Linked DNA regions of Caenorhabditis elegans. The protein of the gene in region 2 purifies or fractionates together with the protein of the main gene of each other region. This does not show direct contact. Each region holds a gene or a part of one and is shown on either strand. Other genes may lie near its edges.

Region 1 (3,974 bases), on a different chromosome or scaffold from region 2:
AAAAAAATTTTTACGAATTAAAAACTCCTGCGCGGTCCTGAAAAGAAAAACATATTTTCCATGAAAAATATTAAATTTGTCTTAAAAACTAAATTTTCTCTGGATTTTTCGATGATTTCCTATAAAAATACACCCTTTTTCCACTGAAAATCCCTTTTTTTCGCTCGAAAATAATTTTTTTGCAAAATTCAGTACCTGACGAATATTCATCTGGCGGATCTCGCTGAACATCGCAACATCGGGAAGGAACTTCATCTGAAATGGGATTATGCGAGTTTTAAGTCCAATTAAAGAATATAAATGAGGAGAATATAAAAAAAAAGATATTAAAAATGGTAAAAAACCAAGTTTTAAGTTCCAAAAAGCAAGTAAAACCAATAAAATGAGATCCTTTAAGGTTTAAACGTAACAGATGGATTTTAAAAAAAGTAAAAATTAAAATATTGTGAAATAACGTGGTGATAGATAAATTATGATACAGCGAATCGTTGAAAACCAGATCATTCCGCTTGGCACAGTCCGAGAAAATCGTCCATCAAGGTTCCGATGGCAAAAATGTCGTTAGCATCGACACGTGTTCCGATGAGCTTCACACGGATCTCATCATCATTCCGAATCACATTCGCCTCATCATTGGTCTTGTAGCACGGTTTCTCACTGTTCGGATCGAATTCCATGTCTGGTGGAATACAATGACGACTGATGAAGCATGAAAGTGGTCCGATATCACAGAAAATGCCGACTTTATTGACCTGTGTGACGACTCCATCGACGACTTGTCCTTTGAACGGGCGGAACACGATGGCCTTGTAACGGACCGGGTAGATGACGAATCCACGGCCAGGCTGGATCAGGCCGTGGCCGATCGTGTCGATTGTGGTGACTGCGATGACGAATCCGTACTTTCCTGTGCACGTTCCCTCGACTTCGTTGAACAGCTTCATTTTGATGGTTTCGTTCAGGTTTGGACCGAAATATTTCGGATGGAGGCAGACTTCATGGTCGAGTGACAAGTGGAAGAACATCTGAAAGTTCTTAAATTTGTATTTAAAAGAGGAAATCGTAACGGTTCTGGGTTTTTTAGTGATTTTTTTTGGTTTAAAACTCAAATTTCTATCGATTTTTGCATGTAAACTCTGTGTTTCAAGCATAAAAATCGTTTTTTAAAATTTAATTTTTACTATTAAAACAGGAGTAATTTTTAACGTTGAAGATCCAAAATGTGCTCAAATGGACGAATTTCGTAATGAAATTTCTCAAAATTCCGAAAAACCCGGCTAAGTTCACTTGTTCAGTAAGCCCGTTCAGAATATACCCAGATTTAAACCAAATTAAAACCGTACAAGCCTATATTGTGAATTTATCTGCACAAATTTGGTTTGGATCTACACAAACCTACACAAATTCAGTTTACATCTACTCAAACTTGCAATCTATGCAAATTATGTTTGAATCTAGACAATCTTGGTTTACATCTGCCCAAAATTAGAATTTTTCATAATATAGGCTTGTACGGTTTAAATCTGGGTATATTCTGAACGGGTTTACTGAGTGGAATAGCGAAATTTGGCCACTTTTCCGCGTCGCGGCGATGGAAAGTTCACTTTTTTTTAAATTATCATCCTTTATTGCTTAAAAACGTGAGATAATCGATCAAATTATGCAAAAAGAGATGAAAATTCCAAAAAAGTCCACTTCCAATCGCTGCGACATGGAAAGTAGCCAGAATTGGAGATTTTACCCGACATAAAAAATGTTCGAGCACTCTTTAAGAATTTTTATTGCAAAATTCGCTTATTTGAGCATATTTCGGTCTTATACATTCAAAATACCTAGAATCTTTACTCCTAAAAGTTAAAAACCCCCTTAGAGAAATTTTATGCACGAATTCTGGATTTTACACACAAAAAATCGATTTCTGATCAAGTATTTATTGCGTAAAACAAGAAAATTGAGTTTTAAAACCAAAAAAAAACAATTAAAAACGAAAAAATCCACCAAAATCTATTCGAAAAATAAATAAATTTCGTACACGAAGCGTAAGCGCACCAGTTGCGTGCCAACGAGACGAAGAATGCGCCAGCAGGCGTCCTTGGCGCATATCTCGTTTTTCTTTTATTTTGCCAACTCCGCTCGGTTTTTCCTCTTTAAAATCGAATATTTCACATATGTACACACTTTCGGCGGGTATCTGGGAGAAATTCTTCAAGAAAAAAGACTATTATGTGGTGATAGTCGGTCTGGATAATGCTGGAAAAACTGTAAGTCTCTTGAATTTGAGATCTCACCGATTAATATCAGAAATTATCGATTTCAGACGTTTCTGGAGCAAACAAAATCTCACTTTGTAAAGGACTACGGGGTTCTGAATCCATCAAAAATCACGGCGACAGTTGGTTTGAATAGTAAGCCTCTAAAATGAATTAAAAATCAAAAAATTTTTTTTTTCAATTTTCAGCTGGAAATGTCGAGCTCAACAACACATGTCTTCATTTCTGGGATCTCGGAGGCCAGGAGAGTTTACGAGAACTCTGGGCGACATATTACGACGATGCAAATGCCATGATTTTTGTTGTGGACGCAACAAGGAGCGATCTCTTCCCAATAGTAGCATCTCAGTTTAGTAAGTAGTTTGAAATTGAAATAAATCAAATTTATACCAGAAATAATAATAATAATACGAATATTTCAGAAGAAGTAATGGCCAACGAAATAGTTCAAAATATTCCAGTTTTAGTAGCGGTGAATAAAAGTGAAATGGAAGGAGCCGCCGCTGCCGCTGAGGTCAGATTTTTCTCAAAAATCGAAAAAAAAAACCGAAATTCCTGCATTAAAATCATATTTTCCAGGTCCGAATGCTGCTCGAAGACGACAATCACCGCTCGGACCTTGCAGTTCTTCCGGTTTCGGCGCTAGAAGGAACAAATATCGAAAGATGTGTTCACTGGATCGTCCGATCGTTGGCTAGCCAGCCATTATACCTTTAACCTCTCGGGTAGCTGTATATAATAATTATAATCTATTGCATACTGACATGAATAGAAGAATCCTGTGATGATTTCCTAACCTCACTGCAACTTTTTTGAATGAGGGACGAGGAAATACGGTTTCTAGGCCACGGCCGGGGATCCGACAAGATTTAGCGGCAATTTATTTTGCTTTGTTTTCCGCGTTTTTTCTTTGGTTTTTCACCGATTTTTCTCCCGTTTTTTTCTTATTAACACTGATGAATAAATATTTTTTGCAGATGCTAGAACAATTTCCAACTGAAAAATTGTGTAGCGATGGATTACGGGAATACTAAACCTAAACTTTTTCCGAATCATGAAATATATGCTGCTTAGAGGCTGAAACTACCTGATTTTCATAACGAGACCGCTGAAAAAGTTTTGAGATTTTTAAAATTCAACTTTTTTGGTGAAAAAGTCGATATTTTCGCACAAAATGTTGAATTTTAAAAATCTCAAAACTTTTTTTCAGCGGTCTCGTTATGAAAATCAAGTAGTTTCAGCATCTAAGCAGTATATATATCATGTTTCGGAAAAAGTTTAGGTTTGGTATGCCTGTAATCCATCATATTACATTGATCATTTTCACCGCTTCTTGCCGATTGTTCTAGCATCTGCGAAAAAATATTTATCCATCAGTTTTAATAGGAAAAACGGGAAAAAAAACTGTGAAAAACAAAAAAAAAAACAAGCGGAAAACAAAGCAAGATAAATTGCCGCTAAATCTTGTCGGATCCTCGGCCATGGCCTAGAAACCGCATTTCCTCGTCCCTCGTTTAAGAAAAGTTGCAGTGAACCCCTTCCCCTCTACCATGTTTTAATACGGTTTCGGCTGATCTGACTTATTACACAAAAAAATGATATTAGTATTTAAGTATTAAATATTTTTGTTTATATCGTGCAATAAAAATTCTTTTTTTAATTGATTATTTACAAAATTTCAGAAAACGAAAGCTTGTGAGTTAT
Region 2 (4,690 bases):
GCTTGTAAGCCGCAAAATGCTCATTTTCTTCCAACAACGGAACAATGACAGCCTTGATAATTTCATCCTGTTGAATAACGGTTTTTCTGTATCCCAAGAAGAACTTCTCATCGATATGAACTCGTTTTTCACCACGGGCTTCTGAATCCAAAACGACCAATGCATTGGATGCCATCCAAATTGGATTGAGATCAGAGATTGGAGATGCTGTTGCAATGTTTCCAGCAACTGACTGAAATGAGATAAATTTGTTTATTTTTCTGTTTCAAACTTTTATGAAATTTTTGATAAGTTTGGATCATTATTGTATCGTCTGATATATGTATCTGAAAAAAAAGTACTAACCGCAACATTTCTGACATGAATACCCGCAAACCAATGGAGCATCTCATGAACATGCTTCAACACTGCAGTCTGTTCTCTTGGAAGATCTTTCATTAATTGAACAGAATAGTTATCCATATCAGTCAACGACATTCCAGTTCCCATATAAACTCCATCATTTTCCAAATGTTTTTCATGAAGTACTTTTACTTGTCGTGGATTGATAACTGCCGGAAGATCGATGAATCGAAATTTGAGCTCAATTGCCAACTCGGAATTTCCAGAGATTAGACGAGCATGAGGAAGTTCTCGTTTCAGTGATAGAAGGTCACTGGAATTGTTATACTGTTAGATGCTTGTTGATAGGAGAAATAATTTCGACCATAAAAATAATCTAGTAAAATCAATTGCGTGAAACTGTAATTTTCTGTACCAAAAAATTCAAAAACCCTGCATTGACTTTTTGGACAAAAAATTACAGTTTCACGCAATTGATTTGTTTTGTTACTAGACTATATCTTTAATACATATATATATATGAGTCTCTCTTTGTCGATTCTACTAACAACAAATGTTAAATTTTTTTTCTGTTTCACTTATTTTATTTATCTAATTCAAATCGTTTCAATTTAATCAATAAGTTCGATTTGTTTTCATAATATTTGTACTTTTTCGTGTTCCGGATAAATAAACTCTCACTTTTAATGAGCGTTTTTCTCTATTTTGAATACAAAACTAATGAGAAAATACAAAACTAATGAGTGTTTAATTTCACAAATCCAATTAAAAAAAAACTCACTCATAACTGACAGGTTGATACCATTTGGTGTGATGATGATCATAGGCAAACGACATGGACTCATATCCATGAAGCTTGAGCTCCGGTGGAAAAATGAGCTCTTGAGTTGGATCGTATGGTTTGCAGTCCGACATGTCACTCAGTTGGATTTTCTGAAATATTTTCATGTAATTTTTAATTTTTAATTTGTAAATTTCAAAGTAAAACCTACTCGTTTTCTTTCTCCGCCAGTGTATCCCGGTGTAGTTTCATCGGAGCCTCCGCATGCAGTTTTCTTAACTTTACAGCAATTTTCTCCCATTCCACAGCCATTTTCTTCGGTGACCTGGATAATTCGACAGTTTTTTTAGGGAAAATTACTAGAAAATGTCGGGCGCTCAAAAAACTATTGAAAAAACAAGTTTTCCGAAAAAAAAAAAGATTTAAGAGTGCTCTCCTGTTTCATTTTACTTTTTAAGTTTTGATGTGGAACATATCTAGTTACTTTTTTTTATGATACGGCAATATTGAGTGTTAAAGACAACCTTCTAGCTTTTCTTGAGCATCCGACATTTCCCGGTTCCCAACTTACCTTCAAAGTTCCACTTTCATCAACTGCAAAGCTATAGAATGCTTCAAGAATCGGACGATAACCCGTACAACGGCACAGGTTTCCTTGTAGACCCAAATTAATATCGGATATTGTAGGATTTGGATTGTTACGCAACAAAGCATACATTGCCATGACGAATCCAGGTGTGCAGAATCCACATTGGGAGCCGTGAGCTCTGGAAGCAAAACAGTTGAAGAATGGATTAGGATTATTTTGATTACAACAATAAAATGTATTATCTCAGGTTTTTAAAAGGATCCCTTGAAACAGAAGATTTTTAAAATTTCAACAACAAAAAATTGACTGTTTCTACAAGTGTTCTTAATAACTGAACATTGCTAAAAATTATTCCATAAGTTTTCCCGACAATACGAAAAATTCAACTCACTTGGCAAGTCTCTCCTGAACTGGATGAAGCCGATTCTTGGCGACACTTCCAATACCCTCCACAGTAGTTACGGCTTTTCCAAAAACTCCACAAACTGGCATAAGACAGGAGTTAGCGGAGAAATGTCTGGAACAATTAGGCTTTAAAAAATACATTCTCAAAAATTGTACTGTTTCAAGTTGGCGTTATTACCAATTCCTATTTTAAACTCCTAATACGTTCAGATAAGTAGTTCCTTACCATTTTTAAACTTCTTTTTAATTTCAAATACTTTTTTACAACGATGCAAGATATCAATTCAAGAAAAAACCCCTTAAAAGTGATGAGAATCAATATCGGCTCTGCTGAAAGAACATCTGACAAAAACCCTTGCAAAATGCAATGGAAAGCACAATGCAAAACAAATTTGTTAATAATTGTTGAAACCGAAAATATATTTTCTTACTATACTTACTATTAAAAAATAAACATTCATGCCCAACTCACTTGATTTCACCATTTTCAATATGACTAATCATTATCGTACAGGCACCACATCCTCCCTCATTGCATCCAATTTTTGTTCCGGTGAGCTTCACTTAAAATAAAATAAACTCGTAAATTTTTAGCTATTTGGGATTATATATTTACGATTTCTAGATAGCTTGTTTTGAATCAAATTCTTTTTTCGAATTTCAGATCAATTCATGCACATCACGTTTGTAAACTAGAAACACGTATATATTGCCTAGTGGAAACAGCAATTTTTTTTCCAAAAATCGAAGAACTCACATTTATCTCTCAAGTAGGTTGCCAGTGTCATTTTTGGGTCAACATCCTTTTCCTCGACGCGTTTTCCGTTTACGTAGAACACCAAGTTTGTGGCATCATACGATGAAATTTCGGTTACTTCTTTCTTCATTTTCTACTGTAATTTGGCATTTATTGGATGTTAATTCTAGAGAAGGGGTGAAACACTCTTCGAAGAAGTGAGATTAAAAAAAAAGAAGTCAAATTAAAATAATTCTGAAACTGCAACTTTTTGAATATTCGAAGTTAATTTAAACCGTCCATCAAAGTGTAATATGTTCTGGCAGTTATTGTTACTTGATGAAACATTGGAAATTTCTAAAAAATATTTTTTTGATAAAAATTTCTGCAAATGTTCGTTTTTCTGTGAATTTTGTCAAAAATTAAATCAGAAGTTCAACAAAAATACTGATAAAGGTGACATTTCACAGCGGCTGCACCAATCTTGATACTGAAAAAAAATTGAATTTCAATTTCAATGTATTAAAAAAAATGCCGAACCACTAAAATTTTACAAACTCACTTTTTTAAAACATACTCTCTAAAACAGTCGAAGTTTTTTTTTTAATTTTTTCACATTAGGTATGCAATCGGTTTAAAAATTTAAATTTACCTTGAACAAAAATAGTTTTTAATCTAAAAATAAATGTTAGTTTTCAAAATATTATCTACTAAAAAGTGCAAAACTCAACGAAACGGAGAGTTTTTGCACTAGAAACAGTAAAATGAATAAATTCAAAGTGTTATCGGCACAGTTTGAGCGGCGGTCATGTATATCGAATTGTCATGCATGGCGGGTTACCACGTGATTCGGGAATTGAGAGGTTTTTATAATATCAAAAATCGGCAGAGTTGACACTTTGGAACTTTAGATTATTAATTATGTTTATCAGTTTTTGGTTTTATTTGTTTTGATGATAATAATGTGATCTATGAGTCAGAATGTTTTGTATTTTTATGTTTTTGTCTTTTCGTGTCAGTATTCCATTAAAATATATTGTTAAACAATTAAAAAATTTCGCTGAAACAGAAAATGTTTTTTTTTTCGTTACTATTTCAATTTCTCAATAGATTCCTTTTCTGCTTCAATTTCTCCACAGAAATTTTTTTTCCAAAAAAAAATTATGGTCAAAAGTTCCATATTTAAAACCTAATACATTTTATAAAAATTCAGAACAAATAATGCCAATGGAAAACAGTGAAATTTAAAAATTACCAAAAATTTGAATTTTTATTAGAAATTCATAATTTTCATGAATTTATCTCTAATGAAATTTAGAAAATTGAAAATTTTCACTGTTCCAGTTTATCATTTTAAAAAAGTGTTAAAAATGTTTCCAAATTTCTTTTGATAAAAAATTACAGTTCCAAAATTTCTAGAAAGTTGCAATATTTGAAATGGCAAGTTTATTAAGACAAGTTTAATAAGTTACAGAAGAAAATAATATCAAACGAAATTTTTTTAAAAATTGTGACAAACAAAAAATCGGAAAAATTCTGGAAACCCGATTATTACAGAGTTTCAATATGAACCTTTTAATTCCACTATCTTAAAAATCAAATCACGTTGTGTGTGTCTGCGTCTCTTCACTTTCTTCACTCTCTCCTAATTTTCTTATCTTATCACTTATCGTCTAAAAGAAGAGTACATCGTGCAGTTTTTGTTTCCTTATCTCCCACACTAGGCTCTTGAGCTTGAATTGATTGACGCATTGAAACATAATTTTTAGAATATTTTTTGAAAAAGTATAATAAAATTAATATTCATTTAAGCTATATATTGTTATAATGTTAGTAA
Region 3 (5,787 bases), on a different chromosome or scaffold from region 2:
CCCACATTTGGAGCATTTTGAGCATTATTCGAATTAAAAACGACAGCCTGGGTGCCACGACGACCATGAAAATGACGTTTTTCGTACGGTGAGATGTATTTTTCCGATTTTTTGGCGAGAATTTCCGGAATTTTGGAGGATTTTGAAGTTGGCGGTGGAGCAATGTGTTCTGGAAGAAAAATGGGTTATTTTTGGCGGGAAATTTCGAATTTTGAAGATCATTTTTGAGAAAAATGTGAAAAGTTGGAAAAACTTGAATTTTTTTTTCGAAAAAAAATTTTTTTTGCAAAAAAATTATCGTTTTTTGGAATTTTTTTAAAATTCGCTCAAAATTCGTAAAATTCCCAATAAAAAGTGAATATTTCGAAAAAAAATTTTTTTTTAATTTTTGAAAAAAAAAAAAATTTTTTGAAATTTTTTTTAATTCTTAAAAAATTTAATTTTTTTCACAATATTCCTTAAAATTAGCTTAAAATCACAAAATTCTAAATTTTAGCGATTTTTCCACCGAAAATTACAGAATTTTAACACAAAATCCGACAATTTTGGTGGTTTTGCTGGAAATTTAGAATTTTCCAGAGGTTTTTCCGTTTTTTCAGGATTTTTTAGAGAAAATTTTCGAAATTCACCAGAAACTCAATGGTAAATTGCCAATTAAAATGAAAATTTTGAAAAAAAAAATTTTTTTGAATTTTTGGAAAAAAAAATTTCTAAAAATTAGTTTTTTGCAAATTATAACTATTTTCTCTGAAAAAGTCCAATTTTGCAAATTTCCACTCAAAATTCAATTTAAACCATAATTTTCATCCGAAAACTTGCGAAAAATCCCATTTTTTCTGGATTTTTCCCAAAACTTTTGGGATTTTCCGATTGTTTTTTCTAAAAAATCAATTTTCCATGTAAAAACTGTATAGTTGGTGTGTTGACAGTGCAAATAAATTAACAATACATGTGAATTTATAAATTTGCATTTGAATAGGAGAAATACCGGGGGAAATGGTTTTTTTTTCTCATTTTCCTCAATTTTTCTCAATTTTCCCCATTTTTTTCCAGTTTTTTCGCATTCCCCTATCGATTTTCTCAATTATCGATTGATTTCCGCACCATTTTCAAGACTTTCAACCCTTTGCGTGGGCGGAGGTGGGGGCTTCTGCTCCAGCATGCCGGAGCACTGATCGAACGCGGCGACGAGATCACGAATTCGGCCGCGTGGCACCGGTTTGCGCCACGTAGCATCTGACGGTGGTGTATCGACGATCGGGTGCGGCATCCAGCGGTAGAACTGGAAAAAATTCGGATTTTTTGTGAATTGTATCGATTTTTCCGGATTTTTGCCCTACCTGACTTGATCCGATTGGCACCGGAGTTGGCGGCATCGATTTTCCGTCGAAATTCTCCATTTTTCGTCAAAAATCTCCGAAAAAACGGCGAAAAACCGTCTAGAAATCGCAAAAATCGATTTTAAAAATTCAAAATTCCATCGAATCCCTCACATCACTGAATTCGTGGCGAGACCTATTTGAAGTTTTGAGCTATGCGCCTTTAAGAAAAACCGTAGTTTTTTCGCGAATTATCGCATTTATGCGGAATTACGGCGAAAAAGCGAGAATAATCGAAGAAAATGCGATAAGAATTGATAAAAAATGATAAGATTGTGTGCATTATTCAGGTGACAGATTGATTTTTGCCCAAATGTTGCGTTTTTTGCGACGAGAAATAATTCATATATTTATTTAGTTATTTTAAGTTTAATTTTTTCACTTTAATAACATTACGCTCTTCAGAAAAAAGACAACATGACTGTGGACAAGGTTAAGCTGGTCATTGGTGAGTTAAACGGAGAATAAAAACAAATTTAAACCAATTTTTGAGTAAAAAATTCTATAAAATTCGTTAAAACTCGAGTTTTTTCTTTTCTTTTTTAAAATTTCTACTTTTCTACGTTCAAATACACCGAAAACGTATTAATTCCGAAGATTTTCGTTAAAACACTGGAAAATTCGAGCTTCCCGCCAGAAAACTGAGTTTGTCATTGGAGCGTGATTGCATTGCTTGGCGATTTAAAAAAACGAGTCTAGACGCTTCAATAATCGATTTTTTCGGATTTTCAGATGATAAACGAGAATTCTAATTTAAAAAAAAACAAGAAGTCTTCAAATTTTCCACTTATTTTCGTCAAAAAACACTTGAAAATTTGAAATTAGCGTCGGAAAACGGACTAGTTCACTGGAGCGCGCTTGCTTAGCGAGTTTTATCGATTTTTAAAGTTTTACATAAAGTTTACCAAATTTTAAGCTTTAAAAACAAAAATTAATCGATTTTCAGACTCTGACGGTGTAAGCGACGACGTGCGAGCCATCTCCCTAGCCTTGCAGCACCCAAAAGCCGAAATTCTCGCATTCACCGCAGTCCACGGCTGTGTGACAGTAGATCAAGCCTGTGCGAACATCAAAAGAACCATCCGAGCCAACGATCGGAGCAATATCCCAGTGTACAAGGGTGCGGCTAAATCGATTTTGTCGCTGCCGAAGGATGATACCGTATCCGATTTTTTCGGGATCGATGGGATCGGTGATAAGCCGGAGGAGTTCCCGAAAGTCGAAAGATCCGATTTTGAGGGGGAGGGGAAGCATGCGTCACTTGCTTTAATCGATATTTTGAGAGAGAATCGGGATGCCACTTTGGTGTAAGTTGAGGCTACAGTAACCCTTCTGTACCCCCACCGCATCCCTACAGTACCCCTACAGTACCCCCACAGCGACCTACAGTACCCTTGCACTATCCCTACAGTACCCCACAGTACCCCTGCACTATCCCTACAGTACCCCACAGTACCCCTGCACTATCCCTGGTACCCCGGACAGTTCCCCTCTAGTATTCACGCAGTAGTGTTACTGTATCCCCACAGTTCCCCACTGTGCCCTTGCAGTAACACTACAGTATCCCTACAGCAACTCTACAGTAACCCTATAGTACCCCGACAGTACCCCAACAGATCCCCTACATAACCCTACAGTACCTCTGGTAACCGAACAGGTACTCACACAATAGTGTTACAGTACCCCTACTGTTCCCCCCACAGTACACACACAGTAACCCTACAGTAACCCTACACTAATTCCACTAAAGCCCTATGGTACCATAACTGTATACCTACAGTATTTCTACAGTACCCCTACAGTATCCCTGGTACCTGGACAGTTTCCCTACCCTACCCCAATAGACCCCCTACAGAAACCCTACAGTACCGCTTCAGTACCCCTACAGTACTCCTACAGTACCCCTACATTACCCCTATAGTACCTCAACATTACCCTTTTAAAGTCCTACGGTACTCCTACAGTATCCATACAGTCCTCCTACATTTTCGCCTACGCCGAGCTATTCTGGGTGTCAAATTTCGATTTTAATCTATTTTTGCTCAATTTTCCCTAAATTTTCAACAAAACCATTTTTCAGAACCATCGGTCCCCTCACAAACGTGGCGATTGCTCTCCAACTCTGCGAGGAGTTTTCGACGTACCCATCCCGGCTGGTAATCATGGGAGGAAATTATTACGCGGTCGGAAATGTTGATGGAGGTAGGTTCTTCAAAAAAAAAACTAGGGTGGACCACTTTGGCGGGCCATATCTCGTTTCATTTTTGAGATATTAGAAAAGTTTCAACTATAAACCTGTTCAGAAACATGTAACAAACATTTCATCAGTTAACAATTTGTTGACAAACCCAAAACCGACGGAGATACAGACCCGTCAAACCCCAAAAAGCCCCCCTAATTTTTCCAGGTTCCTCAGCCGAGTACAACTTCCACGGAGACCCGGAAGCCGCGAGCATTGTGCTCCGACGTATGAAGTGTCCCATCACCATTGTTCCATGGGAGGCATTCTATTTTGAATCAAAGACCCATGATGCTTCAGTTGATTTTTCGGCTCATTTGAAGTATGGAACCCCATTGGCTAATTACTTATCGCTGGCCACCAGCATTGGTAAGGTTTTTTAAAGTTATAACTCGAAAACTAGGGTAGATACTAGATACCAAAAAAAAACTGTCAATTGGAAAGTTGTTCAGCGTAAAATTCTGCATTGATTTGACCCCCATGTCGATAATTTTCAAATTTTCGAATTTGACACTTAAAATTGCTCGCGGAGCTCCTAGCCTTTCCCAATGCTTCAAACGTATTGAAATTTCGTTTTTCGGATAACCCGCAAAATCCTACACCCAGAAAACTCAACTTCCAGCCTTAGCCAGCAGTTTTGTAAAGGGGTCGAAGTGGCTCAACTGGGTACATGTACGGCTTTGGTGAAATAGGTCCGGGCTTCTCGAGGCCCCGCTAGTGTGTCAATAATTTTTTTAGAGTTCGAAGGTCTGTAGATTAGTCAACAAGTACATTTTTTTTTTAGAGTTCCTAAATTCGATTTGTATGTTCCAGGCCGCGTAAAATGCGAGGCCAACGGCCGCCAATACTCCTACTGCGACGAGATCGCTGTGGCTACTGCAATCGATGAGGATAAAATTGCAAAAAAGTCTCAGTACCTGTATGTCGATGTAGAGCTGAATGGAACAAAGACACGTGGGCAGGTTGTGGTTGATTGGACCGAGCAACTGTGGTCGAATGAGGAAGCTCCGAATCAGGTGAAAACAAAAAATCTGGGGTTCTGTATAGTTTTTGAGGCATAACTCGGAAACTAGAAGAGTTATCAAAAAGTTGCCAACTGAAATGTTGTTCAGCGTGAAATTCTGCATCGATTTGACCCCCATATAAAAAATTTTCAAATTTTCAAGGTCGATACCCAAAATTGCTCACGGAGCTTTTAGCTGCTCATGGTGTTCCAAACTTATTTAAAACATGATTTTTGGGTTCCCCGTAGTATTCTACATCAGGTACGGTTGAATTCCAGCCTTAGCCAGCAATTTTGAAAATGGGGCGAAGTGGCTCAGGTGGGTAGATTGATGAGGCTATTGTGAAATAGGTCAGGGGTTCGAATCCCTTTGGGTTTATTAGTATTTTTAATGTTATATACAATAGATATACAACACTCAGACAGTCCAAAATCTAGATATTATCAATTTTTTGTTTAATAAACCAATTTTCAGCACACCCATCGCCGTGTCAAATTCGTCACCTCTTACGACGTTCATACTGTGGACAAGTGGCTTCATGCAGCCACTTCTGGAAGTGGAAAATTCGATTAACTCTTTAAAACTGTAAAATGTCACATTTATTGCTCTTATTTATGGTGTGTGTGTGTGTGTGTTGAAATTTGCAATAAAAAGTTATTTTTTAATGAAAATTATGACTTTTTCGAAGCATAACTCGAAAACTAGAGTAGATATCAAAAAAGTGTCAACTGAAATGTTGTTCAGCGTAAAATTCTGCACCGAATTGACCCCCATTTAGAATATTTTGTAATTTTCGAATTTGACACCTAAAACTGCTCGCGGAGCTCCTACCTGCTCCCGGTGAACCAAACTGGCTGAAAATCTGATATTCAAAATAACCGTGAAATTCTACACCAGGGACACCTAAATTCCAGCTTTAGCCAGCATTTTTGAAAAATGGTGAAAGTGGCTCAACTGGGTAGATGGACGGCTATGGTGAAAAAAGCCAGGGGTTCGAGTCCCCGCTAGTGTCAATAATTTTTCCAGGGTAATGCAACATGCAGGCAGATGTTTTAATGGAGAACATCAGAAATTTCAGCTGAATTTCGCAAATTTCAGGTTTTTCAAATAGTTTTCCGACTAAATCGCAAATAACTGAAAAACTAGAAGAGTTATCAAAAAGTTG
Region 4 (6,916 bases), on a different chromosome or scaffold from region 2:
GTTTGGTGGTGGATCAGCTAGTACTGGCTTCGATGATCCAGCTTTTGCAGCTGATGCTAAGCCTGAAAAATCAACGACCGATACTATCACAGAGACGTCGGTTACTGGATCAAGAAAATGAAGATTTAAGTGTTTCTCACTGTGATATATGGACTTTGTACATACTTTTTAGAAATAAAATATATTTCTGTGTATTAAAGATTCTTGTCTTGATTTTGTAACAAATACAAATATCATTTAGATTAATTAATAGTCTATACTTATAGTGCCAAAAAGATCAAATATTATAGTGAAATTAATCAAAATGTTGTTCACAATATTGCTGATTTCTTTTTCAGATCCCCTAAAATTTTCAACAGAAGTTTGACTGGAGATATAGCGGTGGACATCTCACGGGTCTACTTTTAGATGATTTTTTTTTAAACCTCTGTAGCTTTGGAACAAAAAAAACTTTTCATAGGAACAGTTCTAATGATAAAATACTTTGAATAAACATATTTTTAAAATAACTACATATTTTAAAACACTTCATTTATTTGCATCATGGCATATTTTCAACTACTAAGAAATAGGGGCTAAGACTTCAATCAACTTGTGCAAAGAATGGCGAGAAAAAAAATTGTGAGAACCTATGGAAGCTTAGTAAAAAGAGACAATTTAGACGAGCAAAGATTTAATATAGACCATGAGAACATTTACAATACCGAGTAAGTGTAACACACAAAAAAAAGTATTATGACAGACAGAAAAAAGTAGTCGCTATGGAGACATCAAAACTTTTCAGAACATGTGTGAGTCGGCGCTTTCTTCTTCAACAGATTCCAAAATTGCAGAACTTTCAACGGTCGAACGATGACGAGCGAGAACACGGAGAAGTGGACGCAGAGCCATCCACCTGAAATTTTTAAATTGAAATTTATCGCAGAATGTGTCCAGGAGCGTTCATTGTCATTAGAGCGCGCTTACTAACAACTAACAAATTCTCGAATACGCGGGAATCAGCTTCCACAGGAAATCAGTTTTTGAAAACATATTTTTTGGGTTCTACGGAAATTATTGTCAAATTTTTAATTTACATTATTGCTGACTATGAGGAACATTAAGCGAATGGCAAACATGTAAAATTGGGCTCTTACGGCCGAGAACGAAAGTTTTTTTTTTAAACAGTCATCACAGAAATTATAAACAATTCATATCCGGCGGTGATTAACTTCATGATTTTTGAAATTACACAGTTATAAAGATCTACGTGATTTTTTCAAATTTTAAATGTTGAGAACTAATCAAATCAATAAGTAATCAAGGGATTTCATGAATATGCATCTTCTCTACAAAATGATCAACCAAATACCGGCCTAAAATCGAAAAACTGACTGTTATGATACAGTTTCCAAAATTTCCTAAATTTACACACTTTCGATTTGTATATCGAAAATGTTTAACAAATCATAACAATAATATAAATCGGAAAAAAAATCTTCTAAAGGAGCCAAAAACTAGCCAAAGAAACTGATTTTTGATAGAAACAAATTACCGCGCGAGTTTGTAAGATGTCAGAAAGTGCGCTCTAACGCTAGAGGAAATCGTGCTCCACGAGTATTGCATATAGCCCTTAAACTTATGGTTTAGATATTTAACAAGAATACAGACATGCTGTATTCCATTATGTTATTTTTAGTCTAGAGATTGAATAGTTTTTTCTACAAACTACTTGTCCACTAACCATTGCTCTGATGGAAGACGATGCTCAAAATCGGTCTCCTTCTTGAGATCTTGCACCGGCGTGAACACCACCTTTCGTCCTTTGAGTCCAAGAAGCGTCGCAGTATGGGCTGACTTGGCGATCACCTTGTTATCGGCCGTCAAATTTTCCTTGAGCTGAATGAGCAAAAACTCCAAAGCACGAGCGGCCAGCTTGGTTCCCATATTTCTGTCGAACGGCGTTGGAGATCCACCCTGTTGAACATGTCCGAGAACATTGACTCTTGTGGTGAAGTTCTTCTTTCCTTCAGAATCAAAAAGATTCTGCACAAAATCTGTGGTGAGGTTCTTGTCGGCCCACTCATTTCTGACAACCAAGTAGCGTTTCGCTCCAACTTCCATCTTTGAGAGAATCACATCAACATCATCGGAGAGGTCTTGAACGGTGAATGGCTCTTCAAAAATGTACGCATTATCCGCACCGGAGCTCAACGCAGAAAGAGTGGCAAGGTAACCACAGTATCCTCCCATTGTTTCGACAATGAAAACTCTTCTCTTGGTACCAGTGGCAGATTGCTTGATTTTGTCGATCATCTGGCAAATCTCATTGATCGCGGTATCGGATCCGAGAGACACCATAGTTCCTAAAATTAGAAATGTATTGTTTAAAAACCTTATATAATGAAAAACAAACCTGGAACATTGTTCGAGATGGTGCATGGGATGACACACATTGGAATGCAAAACTCGGGATACTTTTCGCGATTTTCAGCAAGAATTATTGTGCTGTGATACGCTTCAAATCCTCCAACAAGCAATAACGCTTGAATATTGTGCTTCTTCAGTTGAGCAGCAAGTTGAGGCATAGTTTTCTCAGTTGGAAGACTTTTCTGTGTGCCAAGGAACGATCCTCCGTTCATTGCCCAGTTAGTAACATCGGACCACTTGAACTGTTTGAATGACCCATTGGCAAGTCCCTCAAAACTGTCTTCAATACCGTACACGGTACACTGATGGTAGAGAGCCATTCGAACATAAGAGCGGACGGCTGCATTCATTCCACCGGCTGGAGCGCCAACGTTGATTACAGCAACATTGAATTTGTGTCCTTCCGAAAGATTGTCCTTTTCGACGGTTCTCATCTTAGTCAGCAACTTGTACGTTTCAAGATTTCTCTGGAAACTGCGTCCACGAAGCATCACAGCCGTGGTCCAGTCCTTATCCGCCATTGCCTTCTGTACCATTTGAGTTCGTTCGACACACTTGAGAAGTGGCACACGGACCATAACATTTCCGTCAATTGAGATAACACAAGGTTCTGATTCCTGAAATAAAAAAAAATTATACTTCTTTTCTTTCAAGCAGGAATAACGGTTTGAACGGTGAAAGTGTAGACCCAAAATGTGCTCAAATAAACGAAAAAATTTGTAAATTTCGTTATGAAGCTTTGCAAAAAATGTTCAAACTTTTTTCTTTGACTGTACAAAATGTTAGAAAAAATAGTCTAAAATCTCTAATTCTGAGCTTTTTTCGGTGTCGAAGCTGCCTGAAATTGATTTTTTGAGCGCATTATTATCTTTTATTGCATTTACTAATTTTTGACATTTTTTGGTCACCTACCGGTTTTAAATATACCTTGACTAGGGCTTCCATGTGGCGCCGGTAAGGCGTCAGCGCCGGCTTCACGCCGCAAATCGCGCCACAGGTATAGTACGGCGCGGAACCCCCAAAGTGTCGACCGCTGCCATCTTTGCGAACTACGTTGCGCACACGTCAAATTTCTCTTTTCACGCCAAGCTGCGAAACAGCGGCAGACGGTGAAGGAGGTCCGGCGGGAGGCCCGTGGAGGCGCCAACGCCGCGCCTCTCTCACAAGGAAGCCCTAACCTTAACTATCAAAATAATATGAGATGAAGGAACAAAATTTACGACAAAGTTCGATAATCCAAAAAAGCCAACTTCGGGCCGCTGCGGCACTGAAAAAAACTACAATTAAGATTTTTGTTAATTTGAAAACATATTGGTTCATACGTTCAAACCATTAATGAAAAATTCACAGAAAATCCCAGAAACCTCAGTCATCTCCATGAGAGCAAAAACTGCTTCTGCTCCCATTCTACATCCAAGAAGTCGATCAAAAGCAGATGGAGCACCTCCGCGTTGAACATGTCCAAGAATTGTAACGCGTGTATCGTATTTCAGCTTCTCCTTGACAGCAGTCTTCACATCCTCGGCGGTGATAGCCTTTCCATCACGATCAATAGCTCCCTCGGCGACAATAATGATGTTAAGACGTTGACCCTCTGATCTCATTTGAGAAAGTTTGTCGCACAAGACGTCACGCCAATTTTCCGGTGCCGGCCATTCAGGAATGAAGCAGAAGTCGGCTTCGGAAGCTAGAGCAGCAACTAGAGCCAGATATCCACAATGGCGACCCATGACCTAGAGTAAAATAAGTATATGAATTATTTTCTTGATAAATTGAGATCACCTCAATAACAAAAGCCCTTTGATGACTTTGTGCAGTTGCGACTACAGCATCAATAGAACTGATAATTCTTTGAAGTGCCGAGTCGGTTCCAATCGTCATGTCGGTTCCACAAAAATCGTTGTCGATGGATCCGACAAGTCCGACAATTTGAATGTAAGGAATCTTTTTCGCAGCCGCCGCAGTGACTCGTTGATTTTTCACAAGTTCTTGCACAAGATCGGTCCACTCCAAACGGAAAGTGTTGGCTCCAGTGAGAGATCCATCTCCACCAATGCATACAAGACGACCAATTCCACGATTAATCAGGTTGGTGGCTGCCTGGAAATTTAATTTTAACTTTCAAAACTTTCAAAAATTTGTTTTATTGGGCTAATTATTTTCTCACCTTGAGACGCCCTTCACGAGTTCTGAATTCGGAAGATCTTGCGGAACCAATGATAGTTCCTCCTTGCTGAATAATATCGGAAACGGTGTTCCACGTGGCTTCCTTGATGAAATCTCCACCTTCAATCATTCCTTCGTATCCTTCGTAGATCAAATACACTTTACATCCACAGTATATAGCCATTCTTGTGATACTTCGAACAGCGCTGTTCATACCTGGAAAATAAAGTTTCAAACGTATTCTTACAAGGAAAAGTTTGAATTTTATTAAAAGTGAAATGAATTTTATATGGAGACTCCACACAAAATTTTCATGGCAGGTCAAAATTTCAAATTTTGCCCTAATTCATTCGTACCTTGAGAGTCTCCTCCGGACGTGTAAATCGCGAGAGTACGTCCCTTGAAAATATCCGACGCAATCTCAGTTCCTTCTCTTCCAGCAGTTGGGACGATTGAGTCGAAGCGGCGCAAAGCTCGCTGACGGATAAAGTCGAGCTCTTCTGGCGTGATTGTTGATGCGTCCGCGTCCATTTCGAATTATGCAAAATTCTGTAATTTATGACAATAGTATTTAACACGAAGGATGAGAAAAATGGGATGAGAAGAATGAAAAAATTTTGAGAAGAAAAGGATAAATCTGAGAACTGCAAGAGAAAAATGTTGACAAGCAAAAACTGATTAATCGATGCGGACAATGAATGCGCGTAATACAGTGTGGCAGGGACCATTGTGGTTAGAAAGTGCGCGACGCAGATACAACAAGGAAAACACAGAAACAAACAACTGCGCGCGGTCATATTACCCTGTGGAAGGTCAACTTTTAATTATTATTTTTATAGGAGGAGCATTGAGTGGTTCTGGACATTTTAAATTCAATGAATTTTGTAATGAAACTTCCAAATTTTTTTCAAAATTTTTTATGTCGGTTTGAAATTTTAAAAATTTAAAAATTCAAAAAAAAACCTATTTCAGCTAAAATCTCTAATTTTGTCCATTTTTTCGTGTTGCATCGGTCCGAAGAAATTAACTTTTTTTCAAATTATTATATTTAATGGCATAGCTTGACTTCATTTCGTTAATTAGGATACATCGTATTTTTTCTAATGTAGTATACATTGCACTCCATTACTCAACTTTGACAGCTTAAATCTCAGTTGGCGTTTGTTTTATTGAAAACTGATCAACTGAAAAAACACTTATTTTTATTTTTTTCTATATATTTGCAGTTGACAGTTTATTGATATTTTTTAAACGAACATAGATATATCCTTTTGGAGTAAAGTAATTGGATGATATACTATTAGAGGAAATACGTAATTTACAGCTGATAGGTAACCTAAAATAAAAAAAAATAGGTCACCTATCGGCTTTAACTGTACTATAATCAAAAAAAAAACAAGAGATGAACGACCAAATATGCAACAGAGGATTGAAAAATCAAAAAAAAAGTATTGCCAAAATTGAAGATTTTAACTAAAATTAGGCCATGTTTTTTCGAAATTTTGAACCGCCATAAAAGTTTATTGAATTAGTTTAATCCATTTGAGTAGATATTAAGTTTAAACGTTCAAAATAATACCGAAACTTCAACAAACAAACGTTTTATTTAGTTCCTTTGGTATAAGAAAACAATGAATGATGCCAAGTGAGAAGTGATAGTGATTGAAATGGAGAGAGAAAAGATGCAGAGTAAATAATGAGTGTGACGAACGCATGGGAAAAAAGAAAAGTAGAAAAAAGCCAAAAATAAAAGGTTTCGACTTTGAAATATGCTATGGCAAGTACACATGATGCAATACACGAAAGAAGCCCCTAGAGGGGGGATGCACTTTTGATCTTGACGCAGGGGACCCAGACAACTGAATGTATTTATACAACAGAAACAAAACATGAAAACCAAAATTGTGAATTACATTTTCCTATCAAATCGACTGGATTGAATGAATGATTGGTGTGTTTTCTTCTTCTTCACTTTTTCAGCCTTCAGCAAGGGAAAAAAACTAAGCAGCCAGAAGCAAAGTGCGAGAGAATATGCGTAACACGGAGAAAGAGATCGAGAGAAGACAACGCAAAAAAAACGAAAGCGCGGCCCTTCTGCCTTGCCCCTCGTTTCTCCAACTGCTCAATGTTTTCGACGTGCCAAAACGCATTTTGGATTGAGAAGGAAGAAAACGTAAGGGCCGGGGAGAGAGCACAAAGATTTGATTTCTTATCCGTCATGTCATTTGTGTCTAGTTATCAAAAATAAATCAATTTAAAACATGAATAGAGCTAGTGGAAAAATTTAAAAAAAAAACACGCCTACGGTACCACAATGGACAAATATCATAAAAGAAAGTTT

Evidence for each region.
Region 1: the proteins of xdh-1 (region 2) and rpb-7 fractionate together in Caenorhabditis elegans (co-fractionation; one large-scale study listed by BioGRID). This does not show direct contact.
Region 3: the proteins of xdh-1 (region 2) and Y43F8C.13 fractionate together in Caenorhabditis elegans (co-fractionation; one large-scale study listed by BioGRID). This does not show direct contact.
Region 4: the proteins of xdh-1 (region 2) and pfk-1.1 fractionate together in Caenorhabditis elegans (co-fractionation; one large-scale study listed by BioGRID). This does not show direct contact.

Annotation. Positions count from the first base shown.
Region 1 is NC_003279.8:3,030,838-3,034,811, forward strand, and holds rpb-7 (DNA-directed RNA polymerase II subunit RPB7), read right to left. Parts: upstream 2,102-3,974; coding exon 2,033-2,101; intron 1,026-2,032; coding exon 501-1,025; downstream 1-500. Other genes in the region: sec-11 (Signal peptidase complex catalytic subunit SEC11), read right to left, coding at 196-255; Y54E10BR.2 (ADP-ribosylation factor-related protein 1), read left to right, coding at 2,169-2,261, 2,318-2,405, 2,459-2,623, 2,693-2,784, 2,850-2,987.
Region 2 is NC_003282.8:14,409,883-14,414,572, forward strand, and holds the start of xdh-1 (xanthine dehydrogenase), read right to left. Parts: upstream 3,013-4,690; 5' UTR 3,005-3,012; coding exon 2,875-3,004; intron 2,797-2,874; exon of another isoform or gene 2,776-2,796; intron 2,681-2,775; coding exon 2,590-2,680; intron 2,485-2,589; exon of another isoform or gene 2,464-2,484; intron 2,409-2,463; exon of another isoform or gene 2,388-2,408; intron 2,345-2,387; exon of another isoform or gene 2,319-2,344; intron 2,230-2,318; coding exon 2,104-2,229; intron 2,086-2,103; exon of another isoform or gene 2,065-2,085; intron 1,941-2,064; exon of another isoform or gene 1,920-1,940; intron 1,891-1,919; coding exon 1,695-1,890; intron 1,629-1,694; exon of another isoform or gene 1,608-1,628; intron 1,449-1,607; coding exon 1,335-1,448; intron 1,276-1,334; coding exon 1,124-1,275; intron 1,058-1,123; exon of another isoform or gene 1,037-1,057; intron 979-1,036; exon of another isoform or gene 958-978; intron 870-957; exon of another isoform or gene 849-869; intron 700-848; exon of another isoform or gene 675-699; intron 656-674; coding exon 346-655; intron 327-345; exon of another isoform or gene 306-326; intron 233-305; and 1 more.
Region 3 is NC_003283.11:19,693,396-19,699,182, reverse strand, and holds Y43F8C.13 (Nucleoside hydrolase), read left to right. Parts: upstream 1-1,784; 5' UTR 1,785-1,796; coding exon 1,797-1,827; intron 1,828-2,325; coding exon 2,326-2,686; intron 2,687-3,459; coding exon 3,460-3,581; intron 3,582-3,786; coding exon 3,787-3,987; intron 3,988-4,431; coding exon 4,432-4,634; intron 4,635-5,096; coding exon 5,097-5,195; 3' UTR 5,196-5,283; downstream 5,284-5,787. Other genes in the region: ani-3 (Anillin-like protein 3), read right to left, coding at 1-169, 1,105-1,282, 1,341-1,400.
Region 4 is NC_003284.9:2,939,080-2,945,995, reverse strand, and holds pfk-1.1 (ATP-dependent 6-phosphofructokinase 1), read right to left. Parts: upstream 5,125-6,916; 5' UTR 5,107-5,124; coding exon 4,932-5,106; intron 4,792-4,931; coding exon 4,577-4,791; intron 4,510-4,576; coding exon 4,192-4,509; intron 4,143-4,191; coding exon 3,774-4,142; intron 3,027-3,773; coding exon 2,396-3,026; intron 2,346-2,395; coding exon 1,724-2,345; exon of another isoform or gene 896-1,723; coding exon 781-895; 3' UTR 518-780; downstream 1-517. Other genes in the region: Y41G9A.10 (Prion-like-(Q/N-rich)-domain-bearing protein), read left to right, coding at 1-121. UniProt on the Caenorhabditis elegans protein: Catalyzes the phosphorylation of D-fructose 6-phosphate to fructose 1,6-bisphosphate by ATP, the first committing step of glycolysis.